3 linked regions of the Tamandua tetradactyla genome follow. Each later gene encodes a partner of the first gene's protein in a complex. Links are inferred from orthologs where the notes say so. Each region holds a gene or a part of one and is shown in the gene's direction. Other genes may lie near its edges.

Region 1 (7,255 bases):
CCTACCCAGGATTACATGGGCTGGGCAGGGGAGGCCCCTGGAGCGCTCTCAGCTTTTTCTCATAGTGTTAGGAGAGAGGACTAAAACTCAAGGAATGGGGGTCAACCACTCCCCTGGAGTCACCCAATGAATGACTGTGTTGGGAGCTCAGGCCTCTTGCCTCTCAGTCCATGGCTCTCCCTGGAAGGAAGGGAAAAGTGGGACTAAGAACCCTGACAGATCTTGGTGCCACAGGTCAGTATGGAGCCTGGGAGAGGGCAAAGATAGGAAGAGAGCCTCCCTAGTCCTGAGCTCAGCCTGTGTCAAGCCACAAACAGGGAAGAGGATTTTCTGAGGTCCTTGCATGAGTAAGTGGGTGGGTGGGGCAGCACTAAGTACCTCTGACCTGGACCTCAGCCAGGTCCAGCATAGGTGAGCTGGGCAATGCCATCCTTGATGGTAGGAAAATCTGGGAGGCCAGTGTGGTGGAGGCGGCAACGGTAGCGGCCACAGCTCTTTGTGTACTGCAGGAAGCGGGGTGCACCAGGGAAGAGCACATGGTCAGCCAACACAGTGGCACCAGCTGGCAGTAGGGCATGGGCCTCCAGCAGCTGCAGGTCCTCCAGGTAACATCGGGGCCGGTGTGCCAGGAGCACCAGCTCTGCCTGGCTCAGTCCGTGCTGGGCTCGTAGGTGCGGAATTACCTCCTCTGAACTACCCACGATGAGCTCCACCTGTGGGGGTGGGAGGAGCTGGAGGTGAGGATTGGGGGGATTGCTCCCCATCCCAAACCCCAACAAGATCTGGCTTACTTCACTCCAGGCCCTGGCCTAGGTCCCTACAAGTGTTTCCATATTTCCTCTGGCCTCACAGCCTATGAAGTTAGGATCAGTATTGTGATTCCCATTCTGCGCACGAAGGGGTCACACAGCTAACAAGAGGCAGAGCTAAGAATTATGGGCCTAGATATGCCAGACTTCAGAGACTAACGTCTTAACTCTTTCAATCACTCAGCAGAAAATATGTGCAAGTGACTTGAGACAGAAGGATATGAGCTCACTAACCTTCCGGGATTAGAGCCCTTAAGTGGAGCTGCTTCCTTCTCCATAGGTGGGATCCCCCACAGGGGAATCCTGATCAGGGCAAGGCCTAGGGTGGCAGAGCGGAGACTAGATTTTGAGAGGTGGGGGACTGACCGTGCGCTCATCAAAGCCAGCCAGGCGGATGAGTTTTTCAGCCACTGCTGCTGTACGTGGGTCCCGCTCCACCGTGAGAATATGACCCCCGGGTGGCAGAGCGCAGGCAATAAGCAGTGTAGAGTATCCACAGTAGGTTCCCAGCTCTAGCACGCAGGCAGGAGCTTTCTCCTCCACCAGGCGGGTCAGGATCTGCCCTGGAGGAAGAGATGGTTGTTGCAGAAAACATGGGAGATGGATTCAGGACCCCTACTAGAAAGATCTTGAATGTCTCACTGCCACGCCCAGCCAGCTGGGATCCAGTTCATATGGTAAGGCAGAGGCAGATCCTAGACCTTCATCATTTGGGAAAGTCTTCCTGGAGCAGAAAGCTAGAACACACCGACCTTTTACAGGCCCCATGTGGCTCAGATATTCACAATGGCTGCTCCAGTGGTCCAGGGTGGTGAGGATATGGCCAGGGTCCCCAGGCAGGGCATGCGTGAGCACGTAGCTGAAGGCCCGCTCCTCGATCCGTAACCCTGACAGGGAGTCTCGGAGGCTCCGCAGCAAGACCATGCGCACCAGCAGCCGGAAATAGTGCCGGTACCGCACCAGCAACGTCACCACCAGTGGCAGGAAGGCCAGTGCTATGGCAGGGGACATGGTGTTCCCTCCTGTGTCCTGGGGTGGGAGGGAGGAAAACCCGTACCCATGATTTGCCTGCCATGTGTGCAGCAGCCCTTAACACATATTACCCTTATGTTTTACAAACCAAGGAGCAGAAAGGCTGTCTTTTGTTCAGAATCATACAGTAGAATTGGGATTTGAAAACTGGGTGGGTATCATCTCAAGCCCATGTATTTTCAAAGACTCCATGCTTTGAAACCCCTTCATCCCAGTCCTGACCCAGCCCCATCTTCACCTTTCTTTCCTCACCTGTTTGTCCTCATTCCTTTAGTCACCCCTTCTTCAGGACTCCTTTTACCAGTTCTTCTCTAGTGTCCTTCCTGCATCCCGCTACCTGGTCTCTTCTGACCCATTATTGTGTGGCAAGAGAACACAGCTTTGTGTTTTGAAATCCCTTTTATTGTCATTATTCTTTGTCTCAGTAAGAGACAATCAAAACACTTATATCATAGGGCAAGATATCTTTTTTCCTATTCCAGGACTCTCCCTCTGTTTTTTCTTCCCCGGAGGTGGGGGAATCCTTGATTTTACATTTCTTCTCCAGTTCTTTCTCCCATCCCTGCATTCCTCTGTTCCACTGTTCTTTCCCTCAGTATTCCCTGCACGTGACTTTACACACAGAAACACACACTATACACTTCTCCCCTACTCACTCCCCATCTTTAGGGCCCTCTTTGGGAGATTGGTGCCCGCTCCTCTACCATGCCCTCCATTAACATCTCCCTCCACCAGATCTGACCTTTGTAAGGACCCTAGTGGTGATGGTGATGGTGGAGGGGGACTAAAAGTGAGAGAAAGAGTTATGAATGGATGTGAATAGGTGAGTGATGGTGAGCTTATGCTGGTGTGCTTGGAAACCCACACTCAAGGTCCCAGCTTACCTGGGTTGGAGGCTTCTTCTTGGGGAAGACCGGAGCACAGGACAAGGGGAAGTTCTTGGGGTGGGAGAGAACTCTGAGGCAGGAGGCTGAAACTGTTTTCAATTATTGATGATGAGGCTGCTGCTGTCACCTGAGACCTGCGATTTGAGTTACTAGACCTAGAGACAGAGTAGAGCTGTCTCCAACCCTTTAGGAGACCTCAAAGAACTTACAAAACTCTAGGGTCTTAATTTGAGGGTTAATAAGAGATACTGAGTCTGGTAGCTGCAAATTCTTAGAACATGAAGGATGATGTGAACCAAGGTGATGGAGGGGCTGCAGTTTATTCATTCACTCAAAATTCAAGTTTTCTCTAGGTGTGACTTGTGCTTGGATCACAGGGACGAGTCAGATTCTGTTTTTGTCCTCCAGGAACTCCCAGTTTGATAGAAGAGACTGACCAGAAACAAATATGATTCAGTGTGATCACTAAATTAGATGCTCCATGAGTACAGGGATTTGGAATTGCTTTGTGAACTGCTGTATATCTAGTTAGAACAGTCCCTGGCACATACTAGACACTGAAAGTATTTGTTGATTTAGCAAGTGAATGAATAAACATTGACTTAAAAATGAACACTGGATAGGGATTATGCACAGGGAGCTAGAGATGCCAAGAAAATGGGATCAGAGAAAGTAATCAAGAGGGTATTATGCTTGTATTTGCTTGACAGAAGTATGGTAGGGAGACAGTGTACCAGTGTACACCAGCTACATGTGTAAAGCCCAAGAAATCAGTCGGGAAAGTGCAAGTATTTCCCTATTGCTGGTGAGTACTCCTCCCCTCCCACCCCCCTCAATCCCAGCCTGGAATGGGATGCAGGTCTTAGGCTCTGCAAGATCTTGAAAGACTTGTTTTCAGGGCCCAAGGGAAGACATGAGAAGTTTCTAAAAAAAGACTGATGGTCAGCTTCATGCATTAGATAACTATGTTTAAAAAAGCTGGATTGAAGTAAAATGCCTGAGGACAGGAAGACAAGTGAGGAGGCCTCTATCTCCTCCACCAAGATTAACTGCCACCCTGCTTTGGCTGGTGAAAGCATAAAGCCCCTTCTTCCAGTAGGTCTTAAATCTCAGGGCCAGGCTGGGAACTCCTCTGGGCGCCACCTTAACTCGCGCGCTGGTGATGTGGGTCCAGAATTTGTGCTCCAGATGTGTAGTGCCGTGATTTTACTTGCCCCTCGCTGGCACTTAGAAGAGCATATCATTTCAGCATTTGGGATAAGAATTCGTTTCTGACCCAGAATGACGGTCTCGAAGCACACGAACACATAACCTGATGACTAGCAGGAGGACCTTTTCCACCACGGTGGAAAGACTTTCAGAGTTTAGATAGTGGGAGAAGGTAAAATCATGTGACCCTGCCAGGCCCTTTCCTCATCACGTGTCTTGCGTCTAGTTCCGCTGAACGTATCTTCCTATTGGTTGATGATGAGCTGTATGGGGGCGGGGCTAAAATCAGGGCTGGGCGGCGAAGGCGAAGAGGCTCTGGGAAGGGGGAGGGAGGTACGGGTGGTGGTGGTTGTTGCCGGCTGGGATGTAGCCAAGGGTCATGTGACCGGAAAGGCTCCTGACGGACGCGGTCCCTCCGCGCCGCCTGAGCGCCTGGCTCGACCCCCACCATGGGGTGCTGCTACAGCAGTGAGAACGAGGATTCGGATCAGGTGCGGTCGTGGCGGGCAGGGCTCGGGAATGAGGGCTGAGACCGTGGGTCGTGGGGCCTAGGGAAAAGCCCTCTAGAGAATGGGGAGTCGGGCCGCTTGGCTCCCTAGTACGGTGGCCAGGAGGGGACAGATTACAGAGAGGCTTCCCGGCCGGGCTCTTCCCTGTATTAAGGTCCCAAGTCTCTGCACAGTCCTTGCCTGTGGGCGTGCAGGCGACCTCCTTTCCTTCTCGTATCCCTTCGCTCCCTACCTTCAAACTTTCTTTACAGCTTAAAGGATCTTCAGTTTAGGTCCCTGGAAAGCACTTCGTTCTCAGCTTCCCGTGCCTTCTCTGTGCTTGTTTTAGCGGGCGTTGTGAATCCATTATAGAGGTGGGTAAGCGGAGTCTGTAAGTTAGCCTATCCCGAGATGAATCAGGAGTTTGTGTATCCTCTCAGTCCTTGAGGTTGGAGAAGACCTTGCCAGAGAAGTCCTCTGGGAGTTGGTGGCATTTAAGTTAGCCAATGAAGTATTTAAGAAGTGGAGACAAGTGAGGGCCACGGGACTTATGGGAAGTTGTTTGGAAAGCAGCAAATTGGATTTAGCTTTGGCTTGGATTGGGAGGAAGAGAGGTGGGATGGGGAGCTTATTTGATACTGATTTTGGCCTACCTCAGTGCAGTCCCTGCCTGGAGCCTAAGGATTCTTCTTGCGATGGGGGTTGCCTCCCCTGAGAATTTGCTGTAGATCTGACCTCCTGGGAAAAAGTACTAAGTTGGGGAGACCTGTACAGTTTTGATCACCTTAAAGCCTGGCTTTATAGTTCTGTACATTCTGTATACACAGACAATAAAAAGATTTCATCAGGTAGCTCGCAGTGGGGAAGATATTCCCAGAAATAGATTATGTCAGTGGTACTTGTGAAGTCAGTTGCACCAGTTCTTGGGTTAAGGACTTAAGCTTGGAAAATGTCATTTGTGTGGGAGACATAGTCCTCATTAATCGACCAAACACCCTTTGAGTATATTTCCATGTTTCTTAGGTCTTATTGTTAGACATGAATCATGCTCAAAATCTCTCACTTCACTCCAGATTGTCAGAGGAGGAGACAGTATTCCTGCCTACTGGGAGAGTCATGTCCTAGTGGGAAATTGTTCCTTCTTTAAAGCAGAACATGGACTTTTGCAGGGAATGAGTCAAGAAGAGTTAATGCCTTATGAAAGAAAGGATACCAGCTTCTTAGCTGGATGGGAGATCTGGGTTTGCTTGCTATCTTAAATCTCTATCTTCTCTATTATGGGCTGTCATTTCTGTTTCTAACTCCCAGAGAAGGCACTTGATCACTGTTGAATGATTTGAGATCTCATGTGGCAAAAGCAATAATTACTATCTTGTTGTTTTGGGGGTGGGGGTTCTGTCCCCACACCTCTCTTTCAGCTCTTGGATAAGTTCCTCTCCCACTTACATTCTGCCCTCTTATTATAATAATAAAAAGAAACGTTTAACACATTTGTTTTCAAAGGGCTTTTACATTTATCTAATTTGATTCTTAACATACATTTGTTATATAGGTAGGGGTTATCTCTATTTACAGGTGAGGAAAAGGTTCAGAGAAGCAGAGTGATTTAACCAAGGTTACAAAGCTGAGAAGTAACACAGCCGCTGTTCTGATGTCAAGCCATGTGCCAAGCTGTCTCTTCCAGCTGTCCTCACCCACTAGGCCATTCATAGGCAGAATACATCTGTGTCTGTGCTAGGTTAGACAGTGAAACGCTGACTCCTGGGTTACATTGACTCAGACAAACCACAGTGTTCTTTTACCTCCCCCATGCTGTCCTTGCCCTTGGAGGTGGGGTAACATTTGTCAAATATGATGGGTGTCTTCTGGAAGTCTAGGTCTCAAGATAGAACCTTGCTCTTGGAGAACGAATAGGGGAGAAACTGCCCTGTCCTGCAGGAGGAGCCATCTGAGGTGGGGCTGTTGGGAAGGCCAGATATAAAGGAAGCAAACTTAGGTCCCATTATAGAGCCAGTTTCCTTAGAGATAGTTTACTGTTTGGCAAGCATTTTGTCTTTCTAGCCCTTTAATCCTGATCCTTTGTTTTTGGAAGGGAAAGAGGGTATCTGGGAGTTTGGAGGTGAGGGGGCAGAAGCTTATACCTTATGTCTTGTGTATGTTTGGAACTAGCCTGAGCACACTTGGGTAATCTTTTTTTTTGGGGGGGGGGTGCATGGGCCGGTAATTGATCCCGGGTCTCCCCCATGTCAGTATTCTGCCGGGTAATCTATTCCTGAGGAGAAAGAGTGAGGTGAAAGGGCTGGGCCTGCGTGGAAGGGCAGGAGGAAGTAGCCCTGTAGGAGAGTTGTGGCCTGGGGGTTGCTGGGAGCCTGCAGCAGGAAAGTGTGGTAGGAATTGAGATAGGCCTGCGGTAGAGCATTGGGGAGTGCAGTGGTCTGGCACTGAGGTTTGGTGAGTCAGCATTAGCCAGGGTGGTTCTCCTGTCCTTGACTTTGTCCTGGGCACCCTTGCTTTTTATGACTCGGATAGATACCCAACAGATCAGCTTATCCGTTTGCTGCTGACATAAAATCAGCAAGGATTTGCAGTTGATGGGCTCAAGGTAGAATCATATCCAGAAAGAATATAGTAGGTTAGAGCAGTACAAGAAGAAATACAGAATTACACAAGATTGGAGAGAATTTCTTTGGCCCCAGGTCAGGTCTGAGGGTTATGGTTATCAGTATAAGCTAGTAGTAACAGGCCTGTGAAACCACATTAATGGTGGCTTGAGAGAGAGGAAACAGCTCTACTGTTTCTACTGGTCAGGATACACCAGCTACACTCAGTT
Region 2 (7,958 bases), on another chromosome or scaffold:
TTGGGAGACCCGGGTTCAATTCCCGATCCATGCACTTCCCAAAAAACAACAAACAAGCAAAACAAAGAAAAAACAACTAAACAAACAAAAATTCAACAAAATGGTGCTGCAATAACGGGATACTCAAACGGAAAAAGAATGAAATGTGACCCCCACCATACAGCACACAGAAAAAAAAAAGTCACTTATCTTCTAGTGAGGTCAACACTGGTGCCCACAGCTTCACTGGGAAAACTCTCTCCTTATCCCCTGTCGGCCTGAGTAGGCCAGTAGATGAAGTTCCTAAAACCTCCTCCTCCAGGTCTCTCTTCTCCACAGGGCCATGATGATTCCCAAACATCCTACTCTCTTTTACTTTCAGACCTTTGCACTTGCTGTCCCTCAGCCCTGAATATTATTCCTTTTCTTCCCCTGACTGATTCTTCCTCTTCCTTTGGGTCTTAGCTCAGATGATACTTCCTCTAGGAGGTCTCCTCTGAGCTCCAGGATAGGGTGAGGAGCCCTTCTCTGTGCTCTGAGGGGATCCTGAACTGTACCTATGGGTAACACCAACCACACTGAAATACCTGTTTACCTATCCCACTTCCCTTTGAGACCAGGAACTTCTGCAAAGCTAGGCCTGTGTATTTTCATCACTGTACACCAGGGTTTAAAATATGGCTGCCGAATTAATGAATGAATGAATCAGTCAATCAGGCAGTGTAGGACAAGGCAGGAATAGGCTAGGTAGGGAATGCCTGGGCTCTAGGTATCCCCCTTCAACCCAACCTTCTCCCATACCCACCTGCCTCATGAGCTCAGGGTTGTTGAGCATGTGGCTAATCTCGGGGTTCCGCTCCATCAGCTGTTGCATCTGAGGGTTGGCCATGATCATGTGACGCATCAGGTCAGGGTTAGACATCATGTCCTGGACCAAAGGGTTCTCCATGATCTGCGACAGCATCTCAGGATTGGACATCAGCTGTCTCTGCATCTGTTGCTGCAGCTCCATGAAGTTGGCAGAGCCTAGGCCCAGGCTGCCCAGCCCCAGGATGCCCCCAAAACCAGCTGTGGGGAGGGGGCAGGGTCACCATCTGCCACGATAGCCCTTCCCTAACCTGGTCTCCAGAATGGGCCCCATCTGTCTCTGCCTCTCATATCTCCCTTTTCCACTTACTCCCATAGTCCCAGCCGTGATCCACGGCTGGCAAGATGTCAGTTTACTAGCCAAGACCTCTTTGATGGTAGAAGCTTAGATTACCCCGAGCTGAGCACAGTACCTAGCTCACCGTGGGCAACCACTGGCGGCTTGTTGAATGAACAAATAAATATTCTCTAGCTAACCCCAGCCAGGTCCACCACTTTCCCAAACTCACGGGGTCTTCCAAAATCCTGACCTGGGTTTTCCACATCCCCAGCCCCATTTCTCCCCTTACTGCTAACACTCAGCCATGTTCCCCTCCTTCAGGAAGCCCTCGCACACTGGTCTTGGCTGAATACCAGGGTCTGGAACCCTATGTCCAGAAGCCCCCCGCCCTCACCAGACCACCAGACCAGAGCAGGGACCATCCTTCTGCCTGCTCTTGGCTTTCCCTCACTCCCCAGACCAAGTAGGACTGTGTTCTCCTTTCTAGGGGCTTACAGAGTATGGAGGCGGGAGCACTGGGGGGTCCCTCCCCAGCCCCTGGGGAGGGACCGCCCCCACTGCTCCTTCGGCTTCCACTGCCAGTATCTGAAGTGGTGCTGCCAGAGGTAGAGGGCTGGGCAGGGGTGGCGGGCGAAGCAGGTGTCGTGGAAGGTGCAGAGGCAGGGTCTGGAGTGGAGGGGGAAGAAGCAGTCGTAGCAGCCGGATCTTGAGCCCTGGGGACAGAGAAAGGAGACTCTTAGGTGGGTGGAGTGGGCACACAGAGAAGCCACTGCTCTGATTCAAGCTACCTGCTGAGGGCCCCTGAGGCAGCAGCAGGGGAAGGGGTGGTCAGTAAACCAGGGAGAGGGAGGAAGGAGCTAGTCTTATCTGTCTTCAGGGCATTGTGGGAGGAGTAAGTCAATTTCCCTTCTCCTAGAGGTGATATCATAGTGCTGCCAGGCAGGACATCCTTGACACAGGCCGTCCAGGTCCAGCTGAGCCATGGGTGAGAAAATGTTAGACGGGGAAGGGAAAGGAGGGCCTAGTCAGAGGCTGGGCCTGCTCATCTTCTGAACTTACTTCTGAGGAGTCTTGATGACCAGGTGCACAGTGAGTCCATCCTTGATTCCATGCTGGTTCAGTGTGTCCCCATCCTTGAGGATCTTTCCGGCAAAGATCAGGACGAGCTGGTCCTGCTGGGCCTTAAATCTCCGAGAGATTTCCTCTTTGAACTGTGACCAAGAGGCAGAGGTCACTGAGGAGGCTGCCAGCCCAGACCCACCAGGGACCCTGCCCCTCTCCAAGAGCCTCTGGCATACCCTTGCTCCCACTCTAGTCACGGGAATTTCTTTCTGCAGTCTCTTCTCCACCCCTCCAGTTGCAATAAGCAGCTCCTTTCTTAACCAAGATGGACCAGTGAGAGGCTCCTCTCTCAGCTATATTCCAAGGTCTTCCACCCCAAAAGCCCTTGCTCTGACATCCTACCTTCAATCCCTTCACCCAACCCCCTATGAGGGTGCTAAATGGGCAGCCCTCTCCATCCCAACTCCTTCAACAGTTTTAGACCCAGGCCCCGTCTCCCTTCAGCCTTCTCTTCTCAGACTCCAACTTTCTATCTTTCTTTATTCCCAGCTTCTGCTTCAGCCATCTTTGAACTACAACAACAAATAGCCCTTGATATTCATCAGTTAACAGTCTAAATCCTGGGAGATATTATCTCCACTAGAAAGTTGAGAAAATTAAGGATCAGAGAGATTAGGCAATTTACTCTGCTCAGAATGGGACTCAGGCCTTGACACCCAAGCCCACGCTTGCAACGGCCTGGACACACTGCTTCTCAATTAAAACTGATTTAAATTTCAGCTTCGCAGAGGAAAGAATTTAAATTCTGGAATAGAGTCATTTTATAAAGTTGGGGGGCAGGGATGGCACCGAGGGCTAGCTTGGGGAGAGTTAGACTCCCCAACTATCAGCACACTCCCAACAAAAAATAACAATCATTCTGAGGAAAAACAGTGCACTTGCTAAGCAAAGGCAGCTTCCAGAAGCCCTCCCTTCCAACCAGATGGCCTATCTTAAGCCCCGCCTATGTGAAATTTTGGAGCAGCCACTGGGGGTGAGAAACAGAGGCAATATTCCCTCATTCACTTATTCAACAAATTTTTATTGAGCACCTACTGCACACTGCACAAACCCTAGAGGAGCTGACCACCAAAGGAAACCACTTCAATTTGAAAGAATCTGGGCAGAGGAAAATCCGCCCCCTACTACCCCAGGTTTTCTCCTAAAACGGTGGGCCTCCTCTGAGGCATAGAGTAGGCACCCGGTGCTCTCCTGCGTCCGTTCTCTTGTTTCAGCACCTTGCCTGGACTCCCTACTCTGCCATAGCGCCTCGAACCCCGACCAGTAACCCAGGGTTCTTCTCCCGTCTCTGTGCAAGTGCAGAGTGCTCTCTGTGCAAGGGGGCCCCCTCCTCACCCTCCACCACGCCCCCAGTCCTGGCCCCACGGCAAACCCCGTCCCCCCCAGCACACGCCATGCTCCCCGGATTTACCCTCGTAGGGCGCTCCCTACCAGCATCTCCTTCCCCACCGTTCCTCGGGGTTCCGGCTGGACCCTCGCCTTCCTGTCCGGGATCTTCCCGGACTCCCCGACCGTCCCTCAGGACCGCCCCCCCCCCCCCATCTCTCCGCAGACCCTTCCACGGCGCGCGGTCCCCGCCACCCATACTACCTCCTTGACCGAGGCTCGATCGCAGATCACAATTTCCTCCTTGTCCTTCGGGGTCTTGACGGTGACCCGAATGGGGGGCCTCGTCTCAACCCCGCTCGGCTCCGCCATGCCGCCGCCGCCGCCACCCGGCCGCCCGCCAGCCCGTCCGGGCCCCTCCTCCTCCTTCTCCACCTCCTCCTCCTCCTCCTCCTCCCCGCTAGCCCGGCCCGCCCGGCTCGGCTCGGGTGCCTCCAACACTCCCCTCTCCCCGCCTCTCCTCAAGGCTTCGCCACCCGCTCCGGACCTGCCGCAGCCACAGCGCCCCGGGCGGCCCGGGGGGGCCACTGCACCGGGTCCGCCCAGGGCCGAGCCCTGCGCCCGGGAGCCGGCTCTGGGGCTCGCCGGGCGGCGGTGGGGGGAGGGGCGCTGGGCGGGGGCGGGGGGCGTGCCCCTTGCCGCGGGGGCCCCGCCCCAGCCTCCCGGAGCCGCTGGGAGGTCCAGTCCTTCCCAAAGCTGCCCCCGCCCCCTCCGCGGGTCACTCCCGCGCCGGGACAAAGGACCTTCTGTGTCGCCGCTTTATCTCTGCTCCGTGAGATAACTTGGTCCTTCTCGGGAGGCCCAGTTCTCTCCAAAGGCTGGGCCTTCTCCCTCCTGACGTGAAGGCTGAATTTTCCCACCTCGGGACGTCCACCTAGGACCTCATCTCTACAACTGTCCCCATCCTCCCGAGGGATGGGGCCTTAATAAAGGACTGTTAAATATGGTTCCCGAGACCTGGGTTTGATCTGCGTGGCCTCGGTTTCCTCCTGTCTTTCTGAGCCTCGGTTTCCTCAAGATAATAGTACCTATCGCCTCATCCAAAAGAATTGTGTATAACACAGGACATTGCTTTGAAAAGTAACCAAAGGTGTACTTCATAACTACAAGGTTTTTCAAATTATTGAACCGTGGTTTGCCAAGCGGACGTGACGACTTCTCCCCGAAGGAGTTAAACCTCCTTGTAGGACTTCTGTCCTTTTACTCCCGCTCTTTTCCCCCATAACCGCGTGGTCTGACTGGAAAGGCAAACTATAGTTCCCAGGGTGCCCCGCGACCGCACAGGAACTACAACTCCCAGAGGCCTCCGCGGCGGCGGGGGTATTGAGTCAGACCCGCAATAGGCCGGGAAACTACAACTCCCAGGGCGGTCGGGAGCAGGGCGGCTGGACTACCGGGAGTGGCCGGCGGAGGCCAGCAGGCGGCACCTCGGCGGATCTGTGTGCGAAAGTTCCGGGTTCGGAGTCGCAGGCATGCTGCGCCCCAAAGCTCTGACCCAGGTGCTAAGCCAAGCCAACACTGGAGGCGTCCAGAGCACCCTGTGAGTGCGGACCGAGGACCCGAGCGGCGCGCGCTGAAGCCCGAGTCGGGCGGCGGGCGGCTGTCTGAGGGAGGGTTGGGGAAGGACCGCCCGGAAGGGAGGAGGCGGCAGAGGGGGCAGAGGCCTGGGGAAACCGGCCGGGAGGGCCCCTCTCGGAAAGGGAAGCGGGGCGTGCTTGAATGTCCGGGGCACGGTCCCGAACACCCTCGGCCCGGACACTTGCTTCCAAGAAGCGCCGGTAGTGGGGTTGTGATGGGACCCCAGAGGTCCTACTCCCTGTCTTAAGCACACCGATATCCCTCCCCACCCCTCGCCAGGCTGCTGAATAACGAGGGATCGCTGCTGGCCTACTCGGGTTACGGGGACACGGATGCCCGGGTCACCGCGGCCATCGCCAGTAATATCTGGGCCGCGTACGACCGGAACGGGAACCAAGCGTTTAACGAAGACAATCTCAAATTCATTCTCATGGACTGCATGGTATGGAGAGAAGAGCCTAGCTTCTGTCCTCCAATGGGGATTCCCACGGGGTGACCCGGATTCCGCCCGGATAGTCAGAGGGGCAGGAACGGGAGCTCTGGACGAGTACTAAGAGCTGGTGTGCGACAGCACTTAGAGTAAGCAGGACCCATTGCATCAGGTGGTGTTGAGGAGGGAGCCCTGGACCCGAGGTCTGATTGAGGTTCTGGTCTCTGCCAGCTACTTATCAGTTGTGGGACCTTGGGCAAGTCACTTAAGTTCTGGGAGCTTCCTTACTTCTCTAAGTTGGAAACAATACTCCTTCCCCCCACCTTTCCTGTCTCACACAATTGTAGTGAAGTTCAAATGAAAGAATGGATATCAACCATACAGTGAGGTACAAACACAAGGTGCTGTCATCCCAGGTTCAAAACCTTAGAGCTGGCAAGGTCTCCAGGACCTAGTCAACTCCTTTTACAGACAAAAGAAATGAAATCCAGAAAAAGGAAATGGACATTCCACTGTGAACTGCGTGGAAATAGGAACTGTCTCACTCATGTCTGTACATTCAAGAAATATTTACTTGAATGTAAATATAGTTTTCTCCAAACTGAAGGGAAAGTAGTAAACAGGATAGACAAAAACCCCAGTCTTCGTGAAGCTTAAAGTCACATATTTTTTATAATAAGCTTGGTTAAAAAAAAAAAAAGTTTGGTCATGGAAATGCTATGTAGAAAAATTAAGTAGGGAAAAGAGATAGAGATTGTAGGGGGCATGTGTTAGAGTCTCACTAAAAAGTTTACAGTTGAGCAAAGATCTGAAGGAATTTGGGGAGTGAGTCATGTGGCTGTTGAGGGAAAGAACTTCTCTGACAGAGAGAGCAACAAGTGCAAAGGCCCTGAGGCAGAAAGGTGCTTGGTCAAGGAACAGCAAGGTTAGTGTGGTTGGAGTGGCATAAGCATGGGAAAGAGTAGTAGAAAATGAAGTCAGAGAAGCAGGGGTGTAACACCTGGTGCCCCGCACACAGTGGATACCTAATGAAGGTCTGCTGAACCAAACTGAATAGACCCCAAGGTTGAATTGCCCAAAAGATTCTCCATGGAGACTCGGCTGGCTGACTACCTCTTCCCCATCCCCTGTCCAACCAAAGAGGCCATTTCAGTTCAATAGATGACTCCTATATTGTGCCTAGACTAAAGCTGGTGCTATAGGGCAAAGGTTTTCAAATATTCGCGACTGCAACCTAGCCATAAGAAATGCATCCACTAAAACAAAAGTTTCATGAAACATGCAATGCACTTCATTTCTCTTCTTTTTTATTTTTAAATGCTGATCTACTTTCTAAATTAATTTAATCCTAGGTCAAACCTCAGTTTGAAAAACCTTGTCATGGAAAAAGAAGATAAACATAAATTGGGTTACTATTCCCAAGCCCCTCTCAGTATCTTTGGGTTGAGCCCATAATAATGTCATCCATTTGGACAGGCTGTTACAGATACAAAACTCATTCATGTGTGATGGTACCCACACCAGCTAGGATGAGACAGAAATTACAGAAAAAGAAACTGAGTTTCTGATAGATAAATGAGTTTCCCAGGGTAACTTGGAGGTGGCTGTGCTGAAATTGGAAGCTGGGCTCTGGACTCTAATGTCCAAGGCCATGGCCAGAGCACCCCCCCCCCCCCGCCCCCCACCCACCAGCTGAACCTTCTGTGCCTTAGGCATGGAGGGAAGATAGAGTCTGTCTGGGGCAAGAGGAGCCCTTGTGGGAGGAGAGGGACCAGGGTGCCAAGCAGAACATCACATCTCCCCCACCAGGAGGGCCGTGTGGCCATCACCCGAGTGGCCAACCTTCTGCTGTGTATGTATGCCAAGGAGACCGTGGGCTTCGGGATGCTCAAGGCCAAGGTGTGTATGTGCCTCGTTCTTCCATAACCCTGGGCACAGCCTTCAAGCTCCATCACCATGGCCACTCCCAGCCCCACTACCTTACCCTTCTCACATCCACCCAGTGCATGCCTGGTGTGGGCTAATTCCTATGAGCGGGCTGAGGCTGGTGATCTGTGCATATGGCATTGGGGGTAGACCCTGGATTCAGGATCCCTCTACCAGCAAGCCAGTGTGGGACTAATTTCTGTTCTCCGCCTTGCAGGCCCAGGCCTTGGTGCAATACCTGGAGGAGCCCCTCACCCAAGTAGCGGCATCCTAATGGCCACAGACAGAAGCTGGGGTCACAAAGGAGAGATGACCATTTGGGGGGGCAGGGCCCCTGGGAAAACCTTCCTGAACTGGGGGAGGAGAGGAGAGGTTTTTTTTTTGTTTTTT
Region 3 (7,681 bases), on another chromosome or scaffold:
CTACAACTAATCCACCACCAGGTAAATGCTTCAAATGTGGCTTTGACAGACACTGGTCCCGCCAGTGCCCCAATCCTCGACCACCCAAGGGACCATGCCCTCTCTGCGGGAAAAAGGGACATTGGAAAAGTGACTGCCTCTTGGCACCCAGCTGTGAAGGGGCTGTCCTTCCAAACCCTGACCCACCGCTGGCAGTCCTGGGCCTGGCCACCGACGACTGACAACACCCAGACTCAGTGACTCCGATCACCCTCGCTGAGCCCAGGGTAACAATCAAGGTAGTGGGTAAGTCCACCTCCTTTTTAGTGGACACGGGGAATACCTTTTCTGCCCTCCCCTCCTACTCAGGTCAATTCCTTCCTTCCCAGGTCACGGTTATGGGCATAGACAGCTGTCCTTCGCACCCCTTAACTACTGGACCACTTACATGTTTAATAGAAGGGTACCCCATTACACACTTTTCTTGGTGATGCCTTCTTGCGCCAGCCCACTAATGGGGCAGGATCTTCTCACCAAGTTAGGGGCCTCACTTCACTGGATACAAAAACCCCAAACAAATTTACCATTACCCTTATGTGTGCTGTTCTAGTTTGCTAGCTGCTGGAATGCAATATACCAGAAACAGAATGGCTTTTACCAAGGGGAATTTAATGAGTTGCTAGTTTACAGTTCTAAGGCTGAGTAAATGTCCCAATTAAAACAAGTCTATAAAAATGTCCAATCAAAGACATCCAGGGAAAGATACCTTGGTTCAAGAAGGCCGATGAAGTTCAGGGTTTCTCTTTTAAGTGAGAAGGCACATGGCGAACACAGTCAGGGCTTCTCTCTTGGCTGGAGAGGCACATGGCGAGTACGGCGTCATCTGCTAGCTTTCTCTCCTGGCTTCCGGTTTCATGAAGCTCCCCGGGAGGTATTTTCCTTCTTCATCTCCAAAGGTTGCTGGCTTGTGGACTCTCGGCATCTCATGGCTACATCATTCTGCTCTCTCTAAATCTCTCATTCTCCAAAATATTTGCTCTTTTATAGGACTCCAATAAACCAATCAAGACCCACTCAAATGGGTGGAGACATGTCATCGCCTAATCTAATTTAACAACCACTCTTGACTAAATCACATCATCGGGGAGATGATCTCATTATAGTTTCAAACATACAGTATTAAATAGGAATCATCTACCTTTATGAAATGGGATTTATATTAAAACATGGCTTTTCTTAGGGAGCATACTTCCTTTCAAACCAGCACATGTGGCCTCCACCTCCACTCAGGGTTCCACCCCTCCCGCTCTTCCCCTACCACCTCACCTAGTAAACCCGGAAGTATGGAATACCTCAACTCCCCTGATAGCTTCCCATCATAAACCAGTTCTTATCTGACTAAAAGATCCATCCTCATTCCCATCTAGGCCACAATTTCCTATCTCCATAACCCATCAGAAAGGACTCCAACCCATCATTAACCGGCTCAAGGGAAAGGGACTCCTCATACCCACTAACTCGTCTTATAACACCCCCATCTTGCCTGTCAAGAAACCTGATGGTTCTTAACATCTAGTACAAGACCTCTGACTAACTAATGAGGCTGTCATCCCCATCCACCCAGTAGTTCCCAATTCATATACTCTTCTCTCACACATACCTCCTCATACTACTCGTTATTCTGTCCTGGACCTTAAAGATGCCTTCTTCTCAATCCCTCTAGACCCTGCCTGTTACAATTTATTTGCCTTTACCTGGCAAGACCCAGACTCTTCAGCGGCCCAACAACTTACATGGACGGTATTACCTCAGGGGTTTCACAATAGCCCCCATATCTTTAGCCAAGCTCTAGCCAGGGACCTAATAGAGTGCAATCAAACTCCCAGTTTCGTTCTCCAATATGTAGATGACCTATTAATTTGCAGCCCTTCTGAAAAAAACTTCCACAAAGCCTACAGCCACCCTGTTAAATTTTTTAGCTGACAAAGGATATCGAGTCTCCCCTGCCAAAGCTCAACTTTCCTCCTCCACTGTTACCTATCTGGGGCTCCGCCTCACTCCTACATCCCGACATCTAACAGTAGACAGCCAGCAAGCCCTTTGAGAACTCCAAAACCTCCAGAAAACATTGAACAAATTTTATCCTTCCTAGGTTTTGTGGGGTTCTTCTGACATCGGGTCCCCAGCTTTTCCCTCCTAGTGAAGCCTCTTTATAAGGCAGCCAAGGTGGCGCCCATGGGAACCCTAGATGACCCCTCTACTGTAGCCAAAACTTTCTCCATTCTCCATGATGCCTTACTTCAATCACCTCCACTTGCTCTTCCAAATCCTAACAAACCCTTCTTCCTTTTCACTGATGGAAAGCAAGGAATAGCGGTGGGAGTCTTAACCCAACCTCTGGGACCAACTTATAATCCAGTAGCCTATCTCTCTAAACAGATGGACCCCACTGCCTGTGGATGGCTTCCCTGTCTCCGAGCACTGGCTGCAGCTACTACCCTAATGCGTGAAGCTCTTAAACTTAGTCTGGGTAGGCCTCTCCAAGTCCTGTCGCCCCACCATCCACAAGACCTGTTATCCCATAAGTCTCTCTCTCTCTCTCTGCTCATTCCTTCCCGTCTCCAGGAATTTCATTTGTTCTTCCTAAAAAACTCAGATGTCACACTCTCTGCCTCACCAGCCTGTCTTACGTGGCTCCAAATCCTCCAACAAACCTTAAATTTCCTCAACCAAACACAAATACTCCCTAAAGTAACCCACTGTTACCTCTGTGCATCATTAAATAAGCCACTATTAGCAGCTGCCCCTATAAATCTAATCCAAATACATAATCATAACCCTGATTCCTGCCATACCACTCTAAAGAACACCCCCCGATGGGAACCAGAGCCTGAAAACCTTCCCTACCCCCTTAAAACCTGCTTCCTCACACACACACAACTGTAAATCAGACAAAACTTCATAATAAATGCCAAACTAACGTCACTATCCACAACACCACCCATCCGCCAAAGGACAATATTTCTGGTGTAATGGAACCCTTACCAAGTGCCTTAACTCCACTGCCCCGGGACCATGCTTCCTGGTAACTACTGTTCCTCAATTAACTCTCTATAGGGAGTCCGAACAAACTTGGTTACTGCCCTCTCCTCACTCCAAAAGGGCTGTCTTTCTTCCCATCCTGGTAGGCATCAGCCTAACTGCCTCAGTCGCAGCCTCAGCTGCAGTGGGAGGGGCACTGGGACATGGTTTTTTTTTTTTTTTTTATTAATTATTTAGATTAAACCAAGGTAACTTAACAGAACACTTTGAGACATGGTATTTCAACCTCTCAAAACTCTGAGACTCAACTACAGGTAGCCCTGGAATCAACATCAGAATCCCTTTCCTCTCTACAACGTCAACTTACCTCACTAGCCCAGGTAACTCTTCAAAATTGACCGACCTTAGACCTGCTAACCATCGAAAAAGGAGGAACGTGTGTATTCCTTCAAGAAGAATGCTGCTATTACGTCAACGAGTCAGGTCTGGTGGAACAAAATACTCACACCTTAAACAAACTAAAAGAGGATCTCTACCACAGAAAACAAGGAACCAGCTCTGCCTTAGACTGGTTTTCTTCCCCCCTGGTGACATGACTCCTCCCGCTAGTAGGACCAGTTATCCTAATCTGTCTCTTTTTTCTCCTAGCTCCCTGTCTCCTCAACCTCCTTCAGGGACGCATGAAGGAACTGTCCCAGCTAGCAGTCAACCAAATGCTCCTGCATCATTGCCACCGCCTACCCTCCTCACCTGATTCCTATAGCTAACCTACTCCCTCTCCTGACCATGACAACCCCAGCCCATCACCCCACGTCGCCCCAGCACAGCAGAAAGTAGCCAGAAGAACCTCAACGCCCTATTATCACAAAAAGGCTGGAATGTTAGGTTGGGGGAACCGTGAAGGGCACTGCAACTGGAGCTGCAGAGGCTGTGTCGCCCCTCCCAACATGGCTTCTGGAGCCACCCCTTCTGGACACCTGACTTCCGGAGAACCGCCCCTTCCGACGTCACCTGACCCGCTTGCATAAAAACTGCCCACGCCATCACCCATTTCAGACTCACCTTCCTCCATCTTGGATTCCGTGAGCTCTTCCCGGGAGCACAGAAATAAACCTGCCCACTTTAAATTTCCCGGTCTACCTTCCCTCTTCCTCAGCCTTTCGCCTCCTAAACCTTTCATTTTTAAATAGCCTTACCCAGTCTTCTTTAACAGTTAAGATTCATATGCCACTTTCTTCCCCAAAACTTTCCTGCACTCTCCTACCCCATGGAAGTACCCATGTCTTTGTCTCTGACACTTTACCAATTCAGTACCCAGCTGGGGGGTTTAACATGATGCCACCTCGCGCCTTAGTCCTTTGTGTGTATGTGTTTCTCCCTAAAAGCCTGTGGGCCCGTCATAGCGGTTCTGCGTCTCTTCTCCACATCTTTGATTAAAATCCAAAGGTTAAAAATCACTGAGACAAAGTGAAAGACCAGAAACCAAAGACAAAGAGGCCTGGCTGTCGACCCTCTCCGGGGTGGGAAATAACTCGCAATGCCGGCCTCCGCAGGGGAGCCCGGAGTGGGTGGAGCACTAAGGCTATCCAGGAGCGGCATGGCGTCTCCTGGTTACAAACGCGGAAGCTGCACCGCGATCTATTTTGATCCTTCAGAGCTGCCATCCAGTCTGCGTACCACTCATGCCACGTGACGGAGGAGCCCCTACGATCTGTGGCCGAGAAGTACGTGGTGCGCTGAGTGATCGCGGGCGGCCAGCGGAATGGAGGAGACTTTGGAGCAGCACTTGGAGGACACGTGAGTAGTGCAGACCTCTTCGGCTTGTGCTGAGGTCGCGGCGTTGAGGCTGAAGCGGAACAAAGGGCATGTGCTGCGAGTGCTACCCTGGCGTCTGGGAACACGGAACAACCTCCAAGGCGCGGATGTGACTGTGAGGCTTGCTCTGGGGCCGCAGGGCGGGGCCGTGACCCGGAATTAAAATCTCTCCGGGTTGCTTTGCACACTCCCTCCCGGAGCGAGTCTCCGGGATTCAAATCTGAGGCATACTACTCTGGTGTCGTTATTTCGGGCGTTTTAGGGAATGGGTTATGTTTTAGAAAGGATGTACCACGTGTGCAAAGTGGAACCCTGCATTGTAAACATAAGCAGACACACGTATCTCCTTCCATACGAACCAGCTACTTGGTGCTTAGGGGGATGATGGGTCATCCCTTATTTTTTTTAATGAATGATATTTTTGTAAGATCCGGATTGGGAAAGTTTAAGAAGGCATACAGGGAAATATACCTCACTCCCACCACTGTACTCCAGCCTCTCAATTCCCTTCCGGGAAACTCCTGTTACTTAGACTGTTCCAAAAATTGCTGTACTTGAGTTAGTATATTAAAGCTCGCATTGAGCAAAGGGAACCCTGGATATTACAATGTTTGTGACCCTCCAAAGGTAAATTATACCTGACAATCTTTTTGTTTTTGTTAGTGAGAATTAATTTAAGTTAATTGGTTTTATTTTTTCTAGAGGCGGGGAGGGATGATAATGAAAAAGGCGTTGAGAAACACTGATTTAAAGCACTTAACAACAGTGCCTGGCATGTATAAAGCCTTAATGTGTTATGGTAATTTAAGCCCATGTTCTCTCTTCATCCCGCCTCTATTTCTGGAACTAGAATGAAGAATCCATCAATTGTTGGCGTCCTGTGTACAGATTCACAAGGACTTAATCTGGGCTGTAAGTATCTTACACCAAACTTTTGGTGTGTTACAAGTATCTGATATTGACCTGGAGTCAAGTGTATTAATGCTATTCTCTAGCTTTTATTTCTTGCTGTCCTGCCACTTTGAATTGGTATTTAAGAAAGTAGGACCATTCCCTGCAGTTCTAGAATTAAAGCATTTGGCTCTACTAAAATAGTATTTGAATCATTTTAAATTGCATTTAGAAGGGACTTCAGGTAATGACAGTATTAACCCTTTATTGGATGTATGCCATATGCTGGAATTGTACTAGCCTTTATCTGCATTTTTTCTAGTTTTCACAGTAATCTTGGATGGTGCTATTTTTTTAGTCTAACATACACGTAACAATAAGTGAGTAAACAGTAAAATGTATTCTCTTTTAAATGTACAGCAGATTCAGAGCCAGAAACATCTGGGTTCAACCTCATGCTCTTCCATTTGCTAATAGTGTAAACTTAGACCACTTCTGGGCCTCAGTTTCCTTACTGAGTTGTTTAATAATTATACTAATAATAGAATTACATTTATTGAGCTCTTGGGCTATGTACCAGGCAGCATTGTAAGTGTTTTAGATATCATTCATTTAGTCTTCATAAAACCCTATGAGGAAGATAGCCGCTTTCCCAGTTTCCTTGAGGCAAAAAAGTCAGGTAACTTGCCCAAATTCACATAGCTAGCAAGTGGTTGAGTTAGGACTTGAATCTTTCTCCAAAACCTCTTAATTACAACACTATAAAATTATATCATATGTGTAAAACACTCAGCACAGAACCTAGACATAGTAATAAAGAGTCACAATTACAGATGAGGAAATAAATCCAGAAAGATAAATAACCAAAGCATTCAGTTAATGTCAGAACTAGGAAGTCCAGGACTCTTTACTTCTAACAAGAATTTTTTAAACTAAATTTCTTGCTGGAAGGATAACTGAAATGGGTAATATTTGTAATAGTTGTGTTCCTCACAGATTAGTCAGTTGGAAGAGAAAAGGCAGATTTTTCTAAAATGCTTGCCAGGCTCACTAATGGAAAGGCTGAAATTCAAGTATGGAAATTTAAAACTAAGTCAGTTTCTTCAAGAAAGCTTTAAGGCCTTAAAGGCTACACTGTGGCCAGTTAAAAGTAAAATCAGCAATAGTTAATCCATAAAAATGGTGCCATAGTTGCAAGACTGTTACCCAACTTAGGTGCAAGCACAATTTAGGCATATGTTACCTCAATGAAAACATAAAGTAAACTTAGTAATTACTTTATTTTCTTGGGACCCTAAATTATTTACCTACAGGCTAAAACAAACATTAATAAAGAGGCAGTTCTTTTGACATTTGAAAACAGCTAGCTTATTCTTGCCAAATTGATTGTTCACTGATTGTATTCACAGGTGCTGTCAAGATGGTCTTATGATTGAACTCCCAAGTTCAATTATATATCCTTTGAGGTTGAGCTCAGTGAAAAGAAATCAGATTTCCCAGGAGAAATTAATTAGTTTCACAAGTCTCTTGTCCTTACTGACTTCTTGTCAATCTCACCTCTGAATTTTTTTGTTTTCAGTAAGGTCCTAAAAAATGAATTTCTTTTAGATTGATTTGAATTATAGCTTTATATCGTTGGAAGGTGTTTCAAGATGGCAACGAAAATGACTTTGAAAACTGAGTGTTGTCCTCACATTGTTGATTTAAGAACTGTTGTCTTTCTCATCTAGTAGTTATAACCAGTTGATTATCAGGGCAAAAGCATTTCACGTCAGTACCTAACATAGGAGACAGTTAACTGAATCTTGTGTTTGTGAATAATTCAATGATAGCTCCTACTATAACTCCTTACTCATTTTTGGACAGTCAGGTGACATGATATCATCTCTGTCTTCTAGGCCGTGGGACTTTGTCAGATGAGCATGCTGGGGTGATATCAGTTCTAGCCCAGCAA

What was found.
Region 2: LAMTOR1 (region 1) and LAMTOR2 share a complex: the UniProt entries of both Homo sapiens proteins name them as parts of the ragulator complex. The link is inferred for Tamandua tetradactyla from reciprocal best matches to the Homo sapiens genes LAMTOR1 and LAMTOR2.
Region 3: LAMTOR1 (region 1) and LAMTOR5 share a complex: the UniProt entries of both Homo sapiens proteins name them as parts of the ragulator complex. The link is inferred for Tamandua tetradactyla from reciprocal best matches to the Homo sapiens genes LAMTOR1 and LAMTOR5.

What each region holds. Positions count from the first base shown.
Region 1 is NC_135334.1:74,148,794-74,156,048, forward strand, and holds the start of LAMTOR1 (ragulator complex protein LAMTOR1), read left to right. Parts: upstream 1-4,239; 5' UTR 4,240-4,386; coding exon 4,387-4,428; intron 4,429-7,255. Other genes in the region: TOMT (transmembrane O-methyltransferase), read right to left, coding at 393-713, 1,176-1,372, 1,562-1,820. UniProt on the Homo sapiens protein: Key component of the Ragulator complex, a multiprotein complex involved in amino acid sensing and activation of mTORC1, a signaling complex promoting cell growth in response to growth factors, energy levels, and amino acids.
Region 2 is NC_135330.1:9,088,707-9,096,664, forward strand, and holds the start of LAMTOR2 (ragulator complex protein LAMTOR2), read left to right. Parts: upstream 1-4,956; 5' UTR 4,957-5,106; coding exon 5,107-5,174; intron 5,175-5,491; coding exon 5,492-5,654; intron 5,655-7,451; coding exon 7,452-7,541; intron 7,542-7,785; coding exon 7,786-7,842; 3' UTR 7,843-7,958. Other genes in the region: UBQLN4 (ubiquilin-4), read right to left, coding at 785-1,047, 1,622-1,839, 2,186-2,337, 3,839-3,946. UniProt on the Homo sapiens protein: As part of the Ragulator complex it is involved in amino acid sensing and activation of mTORC1, a signaling complex promoting cell growth in response to growth factors, energy levels, and amino acids.
Region 3 is NC_135337.1:12,520,970-12,528,650, forward strand, and holds the start of LAMTOR5 (ragulator complex protein LAMTOR5), read left to right. Parts: upstream 1-4,679; 5' UTR 4,680-4,783; coding exon 4,784-4,818; intron 4,819-5,686; coding exon 5,687-5,748; intron 5,749-7,625; coding exon 7,626-7,681. UniProt on the Homo sapiens protein: As part of the Ragulator complex it is involved in amino acid sensing and activation of mTORC1, a signaling complex promoting cell growth in response to growth factors, energy levels, and amino acids.